2 linked regions of the Saccharomyces cerevisiae S288C genome follow. The protein of the gene in region 1 binds, or shares a complex with, the protein of each later gene. Each region holds a gene or a part of one and is shown on either strand. Other genes may lie near its edges. A codon is read from its position in the direction of its gene.

What was found.
Region 2: the proteins of RPN3 (region 1) and RPN7 are in contact, whole or in part, in a cryo-EM structure (PDB 5MPD), measured with the Saccharomyces cerevisiae proteins. Residues at the interface, in NP_010938.1 of Saccharomyces cerevisiae: Arg298 (codon at 3,148), His302 (codon at 3,160), Leu397 (codon at 3,445), Thr398 (codon at 3,448), Tyr399 (codon at 3,451), Lys400 (codon at 3,454), Lys401 (codon at 3,457), Ile402 (codon at 3,460), Phe442 (codon at 3,580), Leu449 (codon at 3,601), Asn450 (codon at 3,604), Ile451 (codon at 3,607), Tyr452 (codon at 3,610), Pro457 (codon at 3,625), Val460 (codon at 3,634), Phe461 (codon at 3,637), Arg464 (codon at 3,646), Phe467 (codon at 3,655), Leu471 (codon at 3,667), Glu474 (codon at 3,676), Tyr475 (codon at 3,679), Ser478 (codon at 3,688); in NP_015433.1 of Saccharomyces cerevisiae: Asp365 (codon at 8,654), Gly369 (codon at 8,666), Ile372 (codon at 8,675), Pro373 (codon at 8,678), Lys375 (codon at 8,684), Cys379 (codon at 8,696), Val380 (codon at 8,699), Ile381 (codon at 8,702), Asp382 (codon at 8,705), Arg383 (codon at 8,708), Val384 (codon at 8,711), Asn385 (codon at 8,714), Glu389 (codon at 8,726), Pro393 (codon at 8,738), Asn395 (codon at 8,744), Lys396 (codon at 8,747), Asn397 (codon at 8,750), Tyr400 (codon at 8,759), His401 (codon at 8,762), Val404 (codon at 8,771), Asp408 (codon at 8,783), Leu411 (codon at 8,792), Gln415 (codon at 8,804), Lys416 (codon at 8,807), Arg422 (codon at 8,825).

What each region holds. Positions count from the first base shown.
Region 1 is NC_001137.3:194,692-199,019, forward strand, and holds RPN3 (proteasome regulatory particle lid subunit RPN3), read left to right. Parts: upstream 1-2,256; coding exon 2,257-3,828; downstream 3,829-4,328. Other genes in the region: GPA2 (guanine nucleotide-binding protein subunit alpha), read left to right, coding at 477-1,826; SRB4 (Srb4p), read left to right, coding at 4,121-4,328. UniProt on the Saccharomyces cerevisiae protein: Acts as a regulatory subunit of the 26S proteasome which is involved in the ATP-dependent degradation of ubiquitinated proteins.
Region 2 is NC_001148.4:734,893-750,837, forward strand, and holds RPN7 (proteasome regulatory particle lid subunit RPN7), read left to right. Parts: upstream 1-7,561; coding exon 7,562-8,851; downstream 8,852-15,945. Other genes in the region: FHL1 (Fhl1p), read right to left, coding at 1-1,541; Golgi transport complex subunit COG4, read right to left, coding at 2,092-4,677; putative protein kinase ISR1, read left to right, coding at 5,169-6,500; cleavage polyadenylation factor RNA-binding subunit YTH1, read right to left, coding at 6,546-7,172; GLD1 (Gld1p), read left to right, coding at 9,797-10,681; DNA-directed RNA polymerase core subunit RPC40, read right to left, coding at 10,936-11,943; serine/threonine-protein kinase DBF20, read left to right, coding at 12,414-14,108; RNA-binding ribosome biosynthesis protein MRD1, read right to left, coding at 14,364-15,945. UniProt on the Saccharomyces cerevisiae protein: Component of the 19S cap proteasome complex which acts as a regulatory subunit of the 26S proteasome, involved in the ATP-dependent degradation of ubiquitinated proteins.

The sequences.
Region 1 (4,328 bases):
GGAAAAAAAAAAAGACGAAATCCAAAAGGCTAAGGAAACGGGTAACCCGTGGTACCCGGGGCAGAATCAAACTTATAATTACTAAAGATATACCATATATTACGATCCCTGCGCCCGGCGTGCTCCACATTAAGTAAATGTCTGGAGTAAAATGAAGTCCGCCAATTCAGTCACAAAACATGACTACTGCCTCGTTCGCGATTTCTTCTTCCCTTACTTCATCATGTTCAAGCCCCCTCAGCTGCGCCCAAATGATTCTTCTTATCCTCTTGCATACTGCACCGAAAAAAAAAGTTAATAAGCAGCAGGATTTATAGGCGCGTGCGTGCAGCCTTAGACTGAAGGGGTGGAAAAACTTTAGGTAGGTTTGGTTCTCACTACCCAAAGAGCAATCGATAGGTATAAAAGTGAGCAATTGCTATCACAGCGAGCCTTATTGTTACAGCACAAATCACGCGTATTTTCAAGCAAATATCATGGGTCTCTGCGCATCTTCAGAAAAGAACGGCAGCACTCCTGACACGCAGACCGCCAGCGCTGGTAGTGACAACGTTGGCAAAGCGAAGGTACCACCAAAGCAGGAGCCACAGAAGACTGTGAGAACAGTCAACACAGCAAATCAACAAGAAAAGCAACAACAGAGGCAGCAGCAGCCGTCTCCGCATAATGTTAAGGACCGCAAGGAGCAAAACGGGAGCATTAATAACGCGATATCTCCCACGGCTACGGCAAATACAAGCGGATCGCAACAGATCAATATCGACTCTGCCCTGAGAGACAGGTCGAGTAACGTTGCAGCACAACCATCATTGTCGGACGCTTCAAGTGGCAGCAACGACAAAGAACTGAAAGTGCTACTGCTGGGTGCCGGTGAAAGTGGTAAGTCCACGGTATTGCAGCAGTTGAAGATTTTACACCAGAACGGGTTTAGCGAGCAGGAAATTAAAGAGTACATCCCCTTGATCTATCAGAATCTATTGGAAATTGGCAGGAACCTCATCCAGGCGAGAACAAGGTTTAACGTCAACTTGGAACCGGAGTGTGAACTGACGCAACAAGACCTGTCGAGAACCATGTCCTATGAAATGCCCAATAACTACACGGGCCAATTCCCGGAAGATATCGCGGGCGTAATATCTACGTTGTGGGCCTTGCCCTCAACACAAGATTTAGTCAATGGGCCTAACGCATCGAAGTTCTATCTAATGGACTCGACTCCTTACTTCATGGAAAATTTCACCAGGATCACTTCGCCCAATTACAGACCCACCCAGCAGGACATATTAAGATCGAGACAGATGACGTCAGGGATTTTTGACACCGTCATTGATATGGGGTCGGATATCAAGATGCATATTTACGACGTGGGTGGACAGCGTTCCGAAAGAAAAAAATGGATACACTGCTTCGACAATGTCACTCTGGTCATATTTTGCGTTTCTCTATCGGAGTACGACCAGACGCTGATGGAGGACAAGAACCAGAACAGGTTTCAGGAATCGCTGGTGCTTTTCGATAATATTGTCAACAGTAGATGGTTCGCGCGCACGTCTGTCGTACTCTTTCTGAATAAAATCGACCTTTTTGCTGAAAAACTAAGCAAAGTGCCTATGGAAAATTACTTCCCAGACTACACCGGCGGGTCAGACATCAACAAGGCTGCTAAGTACATACTCTGGAGGTTTGTTCAGTTAAACAGGGCGAATCTAAGCATATATCCTCACGTGACACAGGCCACAGACACGTCGAATATAAGATTAGTATTTGCCGCCATCAAAGAAACAATTTTGGAAAATACATTGAAAGACTCTGGAGTGTTACAATGAATGCACAGCTAAAACAGAGACAAAACTGCATGCCTCTTCTCCCCTTTATTATCACCTTTAAAAAAGATAAAAAAAGAAACTGGAAAAAAGGTAAAAAAAAAAAAAAAATTAAATAAATACGAATACGTTTTCTCATGACCATTGTACTAGTAATCACAACCATGATACTTGAATAACTTTTCTGTTTTGTGCTGTATTAAGCACAACCGTTATTTTTTAATTTATAGCGTTATACCACTATATTATTGTAGTCATTATAGTTATTATCCCGGGTAACAAAAATTTCATTCCAACGAGGTAATAGTTCCACTTTTCAGGCAGGAGGACGAAAAACATTTGCCACCCAAGAAAGAGACAAAGCAGTAGGTAAGGCATTCATCACACAATTTGAAAGGGGGTATAGTAAAAAAAATTCAATTGAGCAAATAGAATGGCTAGCACTGCAGTAATGATGGACGTGGATTCTTCCGGGGTCAATGACTTGCACCATTCTGAGAAGAAATATGCGGAAGAAGATCAGGTTCAGGAACTATTGAAAGTTTTGAATGAGATCTCCAAGACCACTTTAACGCTGGACCCAAGATATATATGGAGGAGTTTAAAGGACTTGAGCTCTTTAAGGAACCAGGAGCTTTTGAATGCGGAAACTTTATGTTTCACAGTGAATGTGCTGTACCCTGATTCTTCTTCATTCAAGAAGAATCTGCTGAAGTTCATTACTTCTAACCATAAATCGTCCGTACCGGGGTCAGCTGAGCTTAGAAACTCATATCCAGCCTCTTTTTATTCCGTAAACACTGAGAAAAAGACCATTGAAGTGACAGCTGAAATTAATTGCTTCATGCATCTACTAGTCCAGTTGTTTTTATGGGACAGTAAAGAATTAGAACAATTGGTAGAGTTTAATAGGAAGGTTGTTATCCCAAATTTATTGTGTTATTACAATTTGCGTTCCTTGAATTTAATCAACGCTAAGTTATGGTTCTACATCTACTTGAGTCATGAAACGTTAGCGCGCAGCTCCGAGGAGATTAACAGCGACAACCAAAATATAATCTTAAGGTCCACGATGATGAAGTTTTTGAAAATCGCTTCCCTGAAGCACGACAACGAAACCAAAGCCATGCTGATTAACTTGATCTTGAGAGATTTTTTGAATAATGGCGAGGTTGATAGCGCGTCTGATTTCATTTCTAAACTAGAATATCCTCACACAGACGTTTCCAGTTCATTGGAGGCAAGATATTTCTTCTATTTATCGAAAATTAACGCCATTCAACTGGATTATTCCACTGCGAACGAGTACATTATTGCAGCCATAAGAAAAGCCCCACATAATTCCAAGAGTTTAGGGTTCTTACAGCAATCAAACAAACTGCATTGTTGTATTCAATTACTCATGGGTGATATTCCAGAATTATCATTTTTCCATCAATCAAATATGCAGAAATCTCTCCTTCCTTATTACCATTTGACCAAAGCCGTTAAATTAGGTGACTTGAAAAAATTCACATCTACAATCACAAAGTATAAGCAGTTGCTATTGAAGGATGACACCTATCAACTCTGTGTTAGATTAAGATCTAATGTTATCAAGACAGGTATCAGGATCATCTCCTTAACGTATAAAAAAATTTCATTAAGAGATATTTGTTTGAAACTGAATTTGGATTCGGAGCAAACTGTAGAATACATGGTTTCAAGGGCTATTAGAGATGGTGTTATTGAAGCCAAGATTAATCACGAGGATGGCTTTATCGAAACCACAGAATTACTAAACATTTATGATAGTGAAGATCCTCAGCAAGTATTTGATGAAAGAATCAAATTTGCCAACCAATTACATGATGAATACCTTGTTTCAATGAGGTACCCTGAGGATAAAAAGACTCAACAAAATGAGAAAAGTGAAAATGGTGAAAATGATGATGATACGCTAGATGGTGATTTGATGGATGACATGTCTGATATCTCGGATCTCGACGATTTGGGATTCTTATAAGGGCGCATAAAAAATAAATAACTACCATTCATAACAGAAATTCATTCGTATATACATAAAGTTCTCATAAACGTATATATATATATATATATATACTTATTGATATCAAAGTGTGTTACTTTCTACATTCATAGACGGGGAAGAAAAGTGAGGAAAAGTTGTTTTCTCTTGTGCACTGCAGCCCTTTGAAAAAGTAGAACTGCAGAAAAAATAACTGAACGTAAAGCATTATTTACTTTTCAAAGGCAAAAGAGATAGAGCCAAAAAAATTGTAAGCAGCTTAAAAGCCATAATGACAACGGAAGATCCAGATTCAAATCACTTAAGTTCCGAAACTGGCATTAAATTGGCATTGGACCCGAACTTAATTACATTGGCACTAAGTTCTAATCCAAACTCTAGCCTTCATTCACCAACGTCTGATGAACCCGTACCTGAATCTGCAGGAAAAGCAGATACTAGTATTCGACTAGAAGGTGATGAGTTAGAGAATAAAACTA
Region 2 (15,945 bases), on another chromosome or scaffold:
AAGTTGTGTCTTACCGAGCTTTGCCACCCATCAGGACAGTATTTATAATAGGGGAAGAGTTCTCTTATTCCTGCATAAATTTCAGATAAAGACATTCCCTTGGCAGTCGAGTACTTTCGTATGCAAGTAGTTAGCATAGCAGAGTAAGATACAGTAGGTTTCGTTCTATATTCTACTGGAATCTCCTCCAAAGTATATACTTTCTTTGGTATTTTCGGTGGCTTCTTTTCTTTCTTAACAGCTGGTTTGGTCTGCGCTTTCTTGGGCTTTGCTCCAGTTGTAATCTTTTTCTTAGATTTGGGCTCGTTTTTTTTGAGATTTCTTGTATTTATTTCAGATTCTGCTATGTCAGCGTTTTCTGGGCTTTTGCTATCGTCGTTACGTTCTTGTTCTGGTAAAATAAATTGAAATGGAATTTGTCCAATTTGAATTTTTGTCTTATTACGAAGTGGCACAGTATTTCCTTTTTCAACGAAAATGTCATCCACAAAAGCACCATTCTTCCCTATTATGGACAATTCGAACCTTCCTGTCCCAAAATTGTAAAAAATCTGGGCGTGTCTCCTCGATATTGATTTTGAAGGACCAAGATTAACGTCAACTTTGTGGGAGAAGTCATTCTCAGACCTCCTTCCGATTATTGCATGTAATGTTTGTACATAAAATGTGAAACTTTGAAAGTCCAGCCTTGCATAGGCGAAGATAGTCGGTTGTTCATTCGGTAGCGGTAAACTTGCATCGATTGGCTCAGATAGTTTTCGTTGGGTAGTTTCAGCATCTGTACTATTATTTTCCGTTACAGTGTTTTGTGGCGGTTGTCCCACTAATTCATGCTGCTGAAACATTATTGGCGTTATTGAATTGTTTCTCATATGCAGCATGTTGTTTTTTTCATCTACTAATGTTGGTAGGGTCTCGGTATCTTTGTTTACTGATAATTTATGCACATCTGTGTATATAGCATCAGCAGTGGGTTCATCCTTTTGTATACTTGTATCTTCTGAGTTCCTTATGCCTTCAGTTTTCACTGCTGCTGTGTTATCTTGAGTTTTCTCCCTTTCGTCCTCATCAGGGTTTACTGGCTCTATATTGATATCTTCTTTTGATGAAACCTCCCTGCTGTGATCATGAGTTAAATCGATGTTATTTACAGGATCCATGGTGTGGGATAACAACTCATTTGAGTTGAACAGAGCTTCATCATTTTTTGCATCAAATTCCAGTAGCTTCGAAAAATCAGCGTTATCAAGGTTATCAGGTAATTCAAGTTTCAAATTTCCATTATCGTCTGTAACAGGATTCTCTACCTCGTTTTCAATATCAGTAGTCGTGTTTTGAGGATGTTTTTCCTCTGTTACTATATCAGAACTTTTTGGTAGTTTTGTTTCAATCGGTACCTCGCTTGTCGGTGAATTTGTTATGCTTTCTTTGGTTTCTTGGTCTTTCAATGCGGAAGAATCTATAGTAAACTGTGTTTCAGTGGTAGGCGATGAAGTCCCGACATGATTGCTGCTTTCTATTATTGCCATTTCCCCATCCATCTTATTCTTATATTTGTATAGATATGAGTGGGTTTTTGTTTTGAGCGGCTAGACGTTAAATCAGGTAAAAACCAGTACCAGGTATATTATGGTAATAAAAAAAGGAGAAAATAAAATGCTTTCAAATACAAAATTAATATTCGTGATGACCTTCTACAAGAGAAAAAAATGTGCCAATAGAAAAGTCCTATTTATCCAGCCCAGAAGATAATAGCAAATATTAATAGACTTTAAACTAACTCAAAGGATGACAAAGTTGGCCTTAGAGAAAGAGCTACTCCTTTCTTAGCTTGGTGACGGAATATATTTCAAAGGTTCCTTTGTTTATTTTTTATTAACGCTTTTAATTTTTCTTGTCTTAGTCTTCGTAATTTCCAGTTAATCGCAACGTTCAGAATGATAGTATGGCGCTATCATGTTGTGCTCTTTCATAAGAAAAATAAGAAATGTATTAACAGTCAAGAGTATGCAGAAAAGGTACAACAGCCAAGATTATGTTTGCGTTTATATGAAACTACTTAGTATTCAGCTCGTAAAGCTTATGTTATATTTACTGTGTTCTATCAATCTTCATATTTCTAGCTTTAATTCTTTCCTGAGAGTTTATCACCCAATCGAAAGTACCATTGAAGTCATCCTTGATATCACCTGTAGTCAAATCAAAATTGTCATCATCTAAACCGAGAAGCAACACGATTTGTGTCAATTTCAAGAACTTCTCTCTGAGATTATAGTTCAAGCCACACATATTGCCGATGAAAAGGCTCAGTTCTCTATCTAATTTCGTAACACCAAGTTCATTGAATTCTAGAGTCCATATTCTTTGCTCCAATGTTGTTACGATGTAGTCGACTATGACAGATAGCAACTCTGCATATGCTTCGTTGTGAAGAATATTTTTGTAAGGGATAATCAATTGGTTCCATTTGCTATTGAAACTGTTAATTTGCGACAAATCTTCGAAATCTTCTATGCTTGTGATGTAATTCTTTTGGTTCGAACCTGCAGAATAATCGCGAGACACATTTTTTTGATTGGACGTTGAGGAATTTGATGAGGCTGAATTAACAAAAACAGTTCCCAATAAGTTCCGAACCCTATTTTGTAGGATATTTTGGAACAAGTATTTGACAGCCCATTTGCTTAGCTTATCTGTTTGTTCCAGGACTAATTTTTCTGAGTTTATAATTAAATTCTGTAACTGCGCTGCATCATTGTCAAAAGGGAAATTGTCTCTCAAAATCCTTTGCGAATCGTCTTCTAATATTTCTATGGATAACAGCCTGTGAACGTATACTTTACTCAAGTACAACGTGTTCAGATATATCAAATAATGGTGCAACGCAAGAATGGAATCCTCGTCCTCTGCAACTACGGCTTGTAAATTTGATTGAATATTTGTCAAAGCGCTAGCTGCTGCCCCTCTAAAAGTGAACCTGCTTAGCGGAGAAAACTTATTTGCAGGTGGAGAAACCGATCTTGATGTTGCAGATTGCTCCTCACCTTTTGGAATGTATCTTTTCAAAGATACATTGGAGGCTAGTTTCGATTGTAGTAACTTAAATTTGTTTTGCATAAATTTTACCAGAAATCGGTTCTGAAAAAATTTTACCAACTCGTTCAAAAAACTTGCTAAGAGCTTAAACTGGCCAGTATTAACCACTGATATCAGATTTTTCCGAACTAATAAAATTAAGTCATCTAAAACAGATGTTACAGGGTATGAAATGTTATCGTGGTCATTGAGGGGAACAGCAGTTATAAGATCGTTCAGTGACGGTAATTCTTCTAGTGAAATACTATTTCTAAATGATCTCTGCAGATGGTTCAACACAAACACCTGAAACTCATCAAAGACCTTATCTTGCTTTAACTTTAAGGCAAATTTACCATCTGCTATTGGTGGAGGTGGTTGCAATACATGCGGATGCAAATCGCTAAATTCATTCCATTTAACTGAATAAAATCTAGAATACATGGACCAATTTTGAAGTATTTGAGAAAATTCCATTATCAATAATGCCAAGTCATGAATGGATATAATTGAGCTCTTTTCCGTTTCTCCGTCTGTTTCGATATCCGACTGATTACTGTCTATATTCACATCTTCATTCTTTTGTGAATGTTCCCATTCATTTATATCATGTATAGTCCTTTCTATTTTCCTCGTCTCCATAAAAATATCTAGAATCAAACTAGCTTGAAGATCAGCTTCTTTTTCTACTTTTTCCATGACATGCACCATGTGCTTTTTTCCATAACACGTGGCGATGACTTTTGAATGATCATTTATAATGGTCGATACAATTTTAAAAAGATGTAACAGTACTTGTGAAAAAAATCCTTGAAACTTGGTGCTGTTTTCCATAGAATTCGACATAATTTTCCTGCTTTCGTCCGCAATAATATCACAGACATATTTGGAATACAGGTCTAAACCAAGTACGTCCTGCCCAATCATAGGGAACATTTTGAACATTAAGGTTAGCTCTTTAATATCCTGTGTTCTTGTTGCTTCCATGAATTGCTCCTGAAATAAACTTGTCAGTTCCTTACACCAATTCTTTATTAGTATAGCTGGTTCTTCGGGAATTTCACTCGAGGGCACAACTTTCTTGGCAAACTCGGATACAATAAGTTTTTTATCCGGAAGGCTTCTAATTTCATTGATTGCTGTCGCAGCAACTAAGTAATCCTTTGTTTCTAAAGCAGAATGCGCCAGTGAAATATTATTCTTTAGCGTCCTGACGTCTTTTACAAATTGTAACGTTTTGTTGACCAAAGCGCGTTCCTGATCTACAGTTTCAATATCGTCATGTATAGCTTTTGCTCTTGCGTTCGAAGAAGAAATGGTGGCCACAGTCTCATGAAACTGAGTCAAAGTAGTCGTAAGGTTAGTTCTTTGCAATTCTAATTTCCGGGACTCTTTGTTGAGCGATGATTGCGACTGTTGCACAAATGCATTTAATTGTTTAGATTGTTTTGCGTAATCATTGGCTATCACTTCAGACAGCTTGTCTATTTGAGATAGTGTCGATAATTTGTCTAATAACAAGGTGTACCTTGCTAGATTTTTAGACAATTGGCCCTCGATGATCGAGCTCTCCCATGATGCATTCGATTTTTGCCCTTCCATCAAAACTTCACCCTTTTAGAGCCTGACAATACAGTATCGTTAGTTTGCGCTACTTCGCTGTCCCAACGAATTTGGTTTGTTTTCTATGTTCTATCTCTATCCCACACTTTTTTCACAATTCCTTTACAGGCGAAAATTCAAAAAAGTGACGTAAATGGAGTTCTAAAAGCTAAAGCAACAAGTTAATAAGGTTAGAAGATCGTAAATGTGTTTCAAAAGTTGCTTACCTCCTTCACTATATCTCAGCTGCTTGTATAGCCTATGACGAAAATTTATGTTCCCTAGCAAGGATATAATGTGTCAATCAACATGATCGCAAACCAGCTAGATTGTGATGTATGGGTCTATCTTATTGTTTATTTTGACTAGCATTGAATAAACAAAAAGCGCTGCTAATAGATTCTTGCCTTTATATAACGGGGATCTAACCTCATCAACAGCAAAAATCGTCTTAAAACACATCTCAAAGACTAGTTCTCAAACGTCACGCTATGAACAGTACACCTCCTACGTCACCCGTCACCAGGGTTTCTGATGGTTCCTTTCCATCCATAAGTAACAATAGTAAGGGTTTTGCTTATCGCCAACCGCAAAAACATAAAAGTAACTTCGCATATTCACATCTGGTATCTCCTGTAGAGGAGCCGACAGCTAAATTCAGTGAGGCATTCCAGACAGATTATTCTAGTAAGGCGCCCGTTGCTACCTCGGAGGCGCACCTAAAGAACGATTTAGACGTATTGTTCACTACCCCCCGGTTTTACTCTCCGGAGAATTTGGCTTTAATGTTCCGTCTTTCTAATACAGTTTCTTCCCTAGAATTTCTGGATGAGTTTTTGATGGGCATATTACTTGCTCCAGAGATGGATTTTTTGTCAAATCCAAGTTATTCTCTTCCGTCTAACAAATTAGTGGGACAGGGAAGTTATTCATATGTGTACCCTATATCATCAAGTGCTTCATCAAGATGTAACAACGATTCAGGGGTTGTTTTAAAGTTTGCCAAATCACAGCATAAAAGCAAGGTGATTTTACAGGAAGCTTTGACGCTAGCATATCTCCAGTACATGAGTCCTTCAACCAATGAAAGTCATATTATTCCATTCTATGGGTTGACATACATAACTAAATCCCATTTTAGAAGACTGAGGTCCAACGAATGTGTTCCTGGCCTTATTCTTCCGAAATGCGAAATGAGTTTATATCACTTCAATACAGCAGTGTCACATAAGCTTTCGTTGATAACAAAAAGAAAAATATGGTGGAGACTTATGAAGCAAATGATAGACGCATTAAAATCTTTGAAAACAAATGGTATAATTCATGGTGATATAAAAACAGCAAATATTTTAATAACAGAAATGCATGTTCTTAATGGAGGCCATTGTAAGGATTTTGACTTCTACCTTGCTGACTTTACGTCGGCATTTCACATTAATCAAACACCAACAGATCTGAATACCACGGTAGAATACTGTGCACCAGAACTAATTGATAGCTCCTCCGATCATGTTCCTACATTTGAATCGGATTTGTATGCCGTGGGGCTTTGTCTTTTATCATTTATATCGCAGCATGAGCCTTACAACGAACTTCAGGCGTTAGTGTCGCATGGATCCTCTCCAGGTATTGGCAGTTCATCTATACAGCAGTCCCAATGGCTGATAAATGCTCTTTTGAAAAAAGATCCTATAAATCTAAACATGTTAAGAAACGATTTATTCCAGGATTGGAAGTCAGAACTAGCATTATTGTCCAGAATTCTGGTTGATAGACTTCCTCTAGAAAATCTCATAACTATACTCGATAGTAACTATATATGATAATATACATGTCTATGAAATCGAAAACCCCCAGCCATGCATAGATCAAACTTCACCGTTTATAATTGCGTTTAAACGCCTTTCCTTTTCTTCATCCATTTTCCTGGTATTTATCTCATCGTCTCTCTTAATTCTTAATTTACTACCTTCATCTGGGATTATGAACTGTGGATGTTCCATATCACATTCATCCTTCCCTAAAGGACAAAATCCGGTCATGTATCTTTGACAGAAAACCTTCTTAATATGCCGTCTAGGACAAGAACTCCCCAGAGGACAGAATCCCATTTCGTAATTTTCACATTTTGGTATCTTGCTAGCGGGATCTATGTGTAGATATTGACAATCTGGACTTTGTGTACAGTACCCGTTTTTGCTGAAGAAGACACATTCAGGCATTTTTCGAAGATTGTATTCATGTAAGTATTCACATTGGTCATTCTTTTTGCACAACCCTCGAAGCCAATGTCTACAAACAATTTTATTCTGAAATATTGGTAACACATGCTTTTTTGGACATAACGGTCCCCTCGGACATGATTTAGGGCCTTCTCTAGAATTGTAAAATTCACAAATAGGTCTGTCAGGATCGAGTGAAAACGAATACTCTTGCCTGAGGAAAGGTTCAAATTTAAAAGGATATTTTGCTGTATCGGGGTGAATTAGGCTCATTACATAAACTTATTGATTTTATTCGTCCTAGAATACTTGTTTAAGATACAGTGCAGAAATCTTTAGCTTATAATTCAGAAATGTGATATTTTGAAGCGATTGGAACAACAAAGTACAGTGCATTCTATATAATTATTAAAAGTTATAGTGGACTATTGTAATAACACTTGTTTTCCCCATATCATAACCGACGGCGCGTAAATGCATGCTCAATCAAGTTTCCGAATAAGTTAAGTTTGCCACCCATTGAGGATTAATATACACAAGGCAGCATTGAAAAACCTAATTGTTAACACTACACAAATCTCTATTGTTGTAGTAAACTGCGCTTTTTACCACTGTTACAATAGTTACTAATACACGCAAAAATTCTGGATAAACACGGCAAAATGGTAGACGTGGAAGAGAAAAGTCAAGAAGTTGAATATGTTGATCCAACGGTGAATAGGGTGCCCAATTATGAGGTATCTGAAAAGGCGTTTCTTTTGACACAATCAAAGGTTAGTATTGAACAGCGTAAGGAAGCGGCAGAGTTCGTTTTAGCCAAAATTAAAGAGGAAGAAATGGCCCCTTATTATAAATATCTTTGCGAGGAATACCTTGTTAATAATGGCCAATCTGACTTGGAACACGATGAAAAGTCAGATTCTTTAAACGAATGGATCAAATTTGACCAGGAGCTATACAATGAATTGTGCAAAAAAAATGAAAGTAAGATTAAAGAGTTAAATGAAAAGATCCAAAAATTGGAAGAAGATGATGAAGGTGAACTAGAACAAGCTCAAGCCTGGATTAATCTGGGTGAATATTATGCACAAATCGGTGACAAAGATAATGCTGAAAAGACGCTAGGGAAATCATTATCGAAGGCTATTTCCACAGGCGCCAAAATTGATGTTATGCTAACAATTGCAAGGCTGGGGTTCTTTTATAACGACCAACTTTATGTTAAGGAGAAGTTGGAAGCAGTCAATTCTATGATTGAAAAAGGTGGTGACTGGGAGAGAAGAAATAGATATAAAACATACTATGGTATCCACTGCTTGGCCGTAAGAAACTTTAAGGAAGCGGCAAAGTTATTGGTCGATTCTCTAGCAACTTTCACCTCTATTGAATTAACTTCCTATGAAAGCATTGCCACATATGCATCGGTCACAGGTTTATTCACTCTGGAAAGAACAGACCTAAAATCCAAAGTCATCGATTCACCTGAATTGTTATCTTTAATCTCAACAACTGCCGCACTACAATCTATCTCGTCGTTAACAATTTCCCTTTACGCGTCCGATTATGCCAGTTACTTTCCATATCTTTTGGAAACATATGCAAATGTTTTGATTCCATGTAAATATTTGAATAGACATGCAGATTTCTTTGTTAGAGAAATGAGAAGAAAAGTCTACGCACAATTGTTGGAATCATATAAGACTTTGTCGCTGAAATCTATGGCAAGCGCATTTGGTGTTTCGGTTGCGTTCTTGGATAACGACCTGGGTAAGTTTATTCCAAATAAGCAACTAAATTGTGTCATTGATAGAGTTAATGGGATCGTAGAGACCAACAGGCCAGACAACAAAAATGCTCAATACCATCTGCTAGTTAAGCAAGGTGACGGTTTGCTAACAAAATTACAAAAATACGGTGCAGCAGTGAGATTGACAGGGTCAGATCGTGTTTGAGGAATTTACATTATTTAGCAACGCACATAATCACATCAACATGTATACATAGTTTGGAGACTTGAGTAAATAGTAGTGAGAGGATATATGGATCGGTTCAAGTCAAAGGATTGTAATCATCCTCTTTCTCCTTTAAAACGGAGAGCTTCTATAGTTTTCAAGCTTCCATTAAAAATTTCAGTATTTAGTTCGGAAAGTTACATAATTGCAATGTCTCATAAAGGACCATGCTTCTTTTGAAAGTGAGGAATCTAAGGCTGAAAATGCCAATTCTTAAAAAGTAGTATAACCAGAAAAAGGAATCCCCATAAAAGGAAATTCATGATACGGTCATTGTTTCTTCATTTGTTTAATACGTTGTATTCGAGTGTTCTAGCCAATAAACGATTCAACTAAAACACTTCTGGTTCGCTTTTAGGGATATCGTTGAAATGAAATCACTCCATGATAGTTTAAGTGTTACAGACATTAAGAGAAGTCGGCTGCAAATTTCCATGCAGACACTTTGTCCCTTCTTGGAGGATACCCTACAGTGTAAAAGCCTCCTTAGCTTAGTGGTAGAGCGTTGCACTTGTAATGCAAAGGTCGTTAGTTCAATTCTGACAGGTGGCAAAATTTTTTCCCTAAAGTTAACACTTATTTAGCTTCTTTTTATATAAAAAATCCATGAGAATTGATTCTGCATTTTAGTTTAAATTTTTTCTTTAAGACTATGATGCTTTCATGCACAAGGTTATATTGTTCTCCTTCTCTATAGTTATTGCAAGGAAATCATATATAACGAAACACAATTTGATCCTTTTGAACCTACATTATCCCGCACTCTTGACGTATCATCAAATAAAGCTAAACTGCGGAAGCCTAAAAATACTAAGCACGCTATTTGTCATCCATTAGCAGGCCAAAAGCAAACTAATCTATGTTTTCAATAAGGCCAATATAATAATGGATAATTTTGAAAGTACTGCTGAAGGAAATTTAAGTATAGGAAACAAACGAGTATACGAACTACGAAAAAGAAACTTCCAAAGAAATTTGGTGAATAATTTGAGCTTTCTCGGGTATGTTTTAATATCATTGGAATATATCAAGTATGATCGTACCGTCTGGACACTTATAACAAGAGCAATAGTGCAATCTCTCATAAGTTCTCCTTTTCCAAGTGATGCCAAGTTACGTAGGCTAGCGACCCTCGGTGCAGATAATAACACGACGGGGGTTGCAACACTTCCAGGCGGAAGATCTATCAGGTTTCCCGGAATGTTTGGAACAGAAATGCTTTATAATTCTTCTAGTGAAGCTGAGCAACAAGACCATGATGATACCGCTATTGTGTCCATGAAAAAGCAAATCCGGAAGTTTTTATTTCATGGTTGCTTATCGTTGAATATGCTTTTCATTATCTTAACAATCCTATTCCCAATTGATTTTTTTGAACCCCTGAGTGGTAGCGAGCCAGTAGACGATGGCCCTAAGAATACTCCCTCACCCTTTTCCAATTCAGATGGTCTACTTTTGGGTGAGAGAAGAGGTGGGCTTTTTCTACAGATGATCGGAGAACGGCTACCAAAGAGCAACTTTTCCGGCAATCTTGGATTAGTAATGTTCGAATTTAGCATACTTATTGTACAGTTTACTTTATTTTCACTAACATGTGTTGTATTGGCAGATTTAGATTTTGAAGAGCCAGAAAGACTAGAACCTGTAAATAGTGATGGCTACGATGGCTCTGTAATAGTTGCACGAATACCATTAAATAAAACCATGAATGCCATTTTAAATGACGGCAATATTAATGACAACAATGAGAATGCTAGCAATTCTGTCTAATAGTATATATATGTAGTCCATAAGGGGTAATGCATATTACTGTTATCGGCACTATTTTATAGAGAGTTACATTTACATATATCATTCTATTACATTTCCTTATCTATGACGATTCATGGGTTTGTATTTTTTTGGTAGGATTTGCCAATTCTACTAATACTAGAAGAAAAGATTATACAAAGATAAAGACCCTGAGGTTAAGTATTTAATATTTTTCTCAAACTGTGTTTTTTTTATTAGTATGCAAAGTAGGATCATTGGGTAATTGGACAGTTTTTCAAATACTCAGCCTTATTCTTTAAAATCCTGACGGATTTGAAAAAAATTTCTTCTGGTGTCATGGCACCAGCGCTTTCTACGTTGAAAATAAAGTGGTTCCTCACTCTTCCTAATTTAACTTTATCAGCAAACTCTTCGTATCTTAAAACCTCCCTGGAAACCGTATCCTTCCTAGCATCTTTGACATACGCTTCATCTGAACCTTCATCAATACCAATAACACCTGGGGGAAAACATTTTTGAAATCTTCTGGCACTTTCACCTTTGATTGGCTGTAAGATATTGATTTGAGGTAATAATCTATAAGAAGCGGTGGAAACTGGTGAAAATTTAGCATGATCACCACCGATACCTAAAATGCAATGTGCCTTCAACGAAATTTCTTGACCAGGCCTTAGCTTAGCTAATAAAATATCAGGATCAGCTGGAACAACCGGACAATCAGCAAAAGTGGTAGATTGTCTGCCCTGTGGTTCAAACTTCAAATCACGGGCGTAGACATGGGCATTGTTATATAGTTCCTTTGGATCAGTAGATCCCTTTGGAGCATCTGGATTTCTTGTGCACTTCACGTTCAAACTCAAAACGATAGTATTTTCATCCGTAAACTTTTCATCGTCCGGCAAATTACTATCAACCCATGTGAGCATATCAGGGTCAACTTTTAATGGAACCAAGCCTATTCTATGAGCCAAAACCTCATCTTGGATAACGGATGTATTGTTAAAAAAATAGACGTATTCAGCAGCCACGGATGGAACCTCGGAAATCATTATACGACGAAAGGCATTCGCAATCGATGTGTCAATGTTTATCAAGTCGAAATTTGCCTCTCTTGCGTCTAATGACGAAATATTGACTTCGAAGTCCTTTTTGAATTTTTCCACATTCCACTCGTTTTCTGCATCCTTCGAGAAACCAGGAAAATCCGTGGAGGTTGTATTCGTTACACGGTTATATTCAATACCCACAATATTTGACATATCTTCTTTCACCTACTTACTTTCATGCACTTGATACCTGCTCTTCTACATAATATGAGTGAAATTTTTTCTTTCAACTCATCGCAATAATTTTTTCACAAAATTTTTGTGAATCCAAGTCACTATAAACGGAATTAATAAATATTTGCAACATAAAGCACAATGTATTGTAGCAGAAGACAAACGACAAGTATGGGATAATGCAACATCTCTTTCTAATTAATATAAAATCAAGAATAAGCATGTCTTCTGACTAATTTTTATATACAAACACCAAGATCATAAATTTTTGTCTTTGAATGGATAATTAACCCATACACCTCATACAAGATTTTGAGAGTAAACACAAATCAATGGACCTGTAGTCGGCTAGATCACAGATCATGATGAACTGTATTGTCGCAACAAACTTGTAACTCCAATAGTGATTAGCAACCCAGAATATCGTATTCAACAATAATTCGGTAGTCATGTTTTCACGAAGTGATCGAGAGGTAGATGATTTGGCTGGTAATATGAGTCATTTAGGGTTCTATGATTTGAATATTCCTAAACCTACTTCTCCACAGGCGCAATATAGGCCTGCTAGAAAGAGCGAAAATGGAAGATTAACTCCCGGACTTCCAAGATCATATAAGCCGTGTGATTCAGATGATCAAGATACCTTCAAAAATCGCATTTCATTGAATCACTCACCGAAGAAGCTACCCAAGGATTTTCACGAGCGTGCTTCCCAAAGTAAAACCCAGAGAGTTGTTAATGTATGCCAACTTTACTTTCTCGACTATTACTGTGACATGTTTGATTATGTTATTAGCAGAAGACAACGTACGAAGCAGGTGCTAAGATATCTTGAACAGCAAAGAAGTGTCAAAAACGTTTCTAATAAGGTTTTAAATGAAGAATGGGCTTTGTATTTGCAAAGAGAACACGAAGTACTGAGAAAAAGGAGGTTGAAACCTAAGCACAAGGATTTTCAGATACTGACACAAGTTGGACAGGGTGGTTATGGGCAAGTTTATCTTGCAAAAAAAAAAGACAGTGATGAAATTTGTGCTTTGAAAATATTAAACAAGAAACTTTTATTCAAACTAAACGAGACGAATCACGTCCTTACTGAGAGGGACATACTAACCACAACTAGATCTGACTGGCTTGTGAAGTTGCTTTATGCATTTCAGGATCCAGAGAGCCTATATTTAGCAATGGAATTTGTACCTGGTGGTGATTTTCGCACATTGTTAATAAATACAAGGATATTGAAGAGCGGTCACGCAAGGTTCTATATCAGCGAAATGTTTTGTGCCGTGAACGCGTTGCATGAACTTGGTTACACTCACCGGGATTTAAAGCCGGAGAATTTCTTGATTGATGCTACAGGGCATATCAAGCTGACCGATTTTGGTCTAGCAGCAGGGACCGTATCAAATGAAAGAATCGAAAGCATGAAAATACGCTTAGAAGAAGTAAAGAATTTGGAATTTCCTGCTTTCACAGAAAGGTCTATCGAGGATAGAAGGAAAATATATCATAACATGAGGAAGACAGAAATTAATTACGCTAACTCTATGGTCGGTTCGCCTGATTATATGGCCCTAGAAGTTCTGGAAGGTAAAAAATACGATTTTACAGTGGATTATTGGTCATTAGGCTGTATGCTTTTTGAAAGTTTGGTTGGATATACACCTTTTAGTGGTTCTTCTACTAATGAAACTTACGAGAATTTAAGATATTGGAAAAAAACTTTAAGAAGGCCCCGTACTGAGGATAGAAGAGCAGCATTCTCAGATAGAACCTGGGATTTAATTACAAGACTAATAGCTGACCCCATCAACAGAGTACGATCTTTTGAGCAAGTTCGCAAAATGTCTTATTTCGCAGAGATCAATTTTGAAACCCTAAGAACAAGTTCTCCACCATTTATTCCTCAATTAGATGATGAAACGGATGCAGGTTATTTCGATGACTTCACAAATGAAGAAGATATGGCTAAATATGCAGATGTCTTCAAAAGACAGAACAAATTATCTGCAATGGTCGATGACTCTGCCGTTGATTCCAAGCTTGTTGGATTTACTTTTAGGCATAGAGATGGAAAACAAGGTTCAAGCGGGATACTTTACAATGGTTCAGAACATTCAGACCCTTTTTCAACTTTTTATTAAGATTACGTCCCTACAATTTAATTTTGTATAGCATAACAGATACATTGACAACAGCAACAAGATGTGCTAACATTTTCCATTTTGAATGATTACCAAAATTATGAAACCAAGGCAACATGTAATTTTTAAGTTTAGTAATCTTTTTCGGGATGAGATGTTTTGAAGAGTTTTATGCTATTAAAGTAGTAATATGATTTATATATTCAAATAAAATGTAAATTATGAAAGAAAAATACGATAAGCTGATAGGGTAAACTAGAAACCTTCGTTTTCTTCATCATCCACATCCAGTTTCTTTCTACCGCCCCCATTTCTTAAGGCAGCCATCTCATTAGTGGCAACTTGCTTTCTAACCTTCTTTGTCATCCTGGCTATCTCTTCTTCAGCGTCAACTGCATCTTCTTCTGCATATTGCATTACCAATCTGCGGCCCAGTAAATGGACACCGTGCAACTGATCCATAGCATTTTCTGCTTCCTTTGGAAGTAAAAATTCCACGAACGCAAAACCTCTTGCAGACTTGTCGAACTTCTTTGGAACTCTAACAGATTTTAATTGACCAAAAGAATTGAATAATTCGAAAACGTCTTTCCTAGTAGCTTCAAATGGAAGATTCTTAACAATGATTTTACCGCTTTTCTTATTGGATTTAGTCTTTGTATTACCGCTCTGAGATGCTTGTCTATGGGATAACTTCAATTGAATCTTATGGCCGTCGATTACCGTCCCATCCATTGCAGCTATCACGGCATTAGCTTGTTCCTTGGTCCTGAATTCTACAAAACCAAACCCCATTGACAAGGTCTTGCCTTGATGTTTTGGATCAGGTTTTGTCTTCACTTGGGCAACAACAAAACCAGTGAAAACCTTGAACCTATCAGTAAGATTTTGGTTCGTCGTGGAGAAGTTTAGATTCTTTATGAAAATTGAGACAGTTGGACCATCAATAACGTCTTCATCATGAGCATTAGATGACCCTTCAGTTACATCCTTGTTTGCTTCCATTAAGTCATTTGATGAAGGTTTTACCTCTACCGGGTTTTCTTCTTCTTTTGCAGAAGTGTTATTTATCAAATCATCGGCCTCAGCTGGTTTAGTAAAGCAATCCTTAGGCCCCCTTTCTAGATATATTATGCCGTCCTTAAATCTTTTATACGATAGTTTAGTGAAAGCTGCCCTTGCTGACGTTGTGTCCCTGAATTGCACTATAGCTATTGTACCAGCTGGTGGCATGAGCAATCTTTCCAATTTACCATATGGCAAAAACATTTCGCCAAGCTCTTCTCTAGTTGTCCCAAAAGGAAAATTTTTAACCAGTATCACTTTATCGTCTCTTTGATTTGTAGATTTTAACTGTGAAAACTTGGTCAGATCAACACCTTTGGATTCAAAGTATTTTCTAACATCACCAATAACATGGGCTTCAGCCAAAGCTTGTTTGACAGCCGAACTTGAGTTTTCAGCATCGATCAATTGAGATTTTTCTAGACCCAATTTGGCTGCCACACTACCCAAAACAGCATCTTGGTTCATATACAAGGAGTTCCAAGAAAATGTTTGTCTGGATGCAGCTGCCTTCCTTTTCAATTCCTTTTGCTTTTTCAATGGCATATTCTTTAAATCAAACTCATCTAATCTATGGCTTTTTTTTTCTTCACCAGGAAGAATATGCAATAGTCTTCCTTGAAAAATCTGTTTATCCAATTCAACATAGGCGTTCACTGCATTCTTAGAATCCTTAAATAGAACGTATGCAAATCCTTTGGATTGACCAGTCCTGGTATCCAAAGCCACATGAACCTCCTCTAACTCTCCAAATGGACTAAATAGTTTCCTG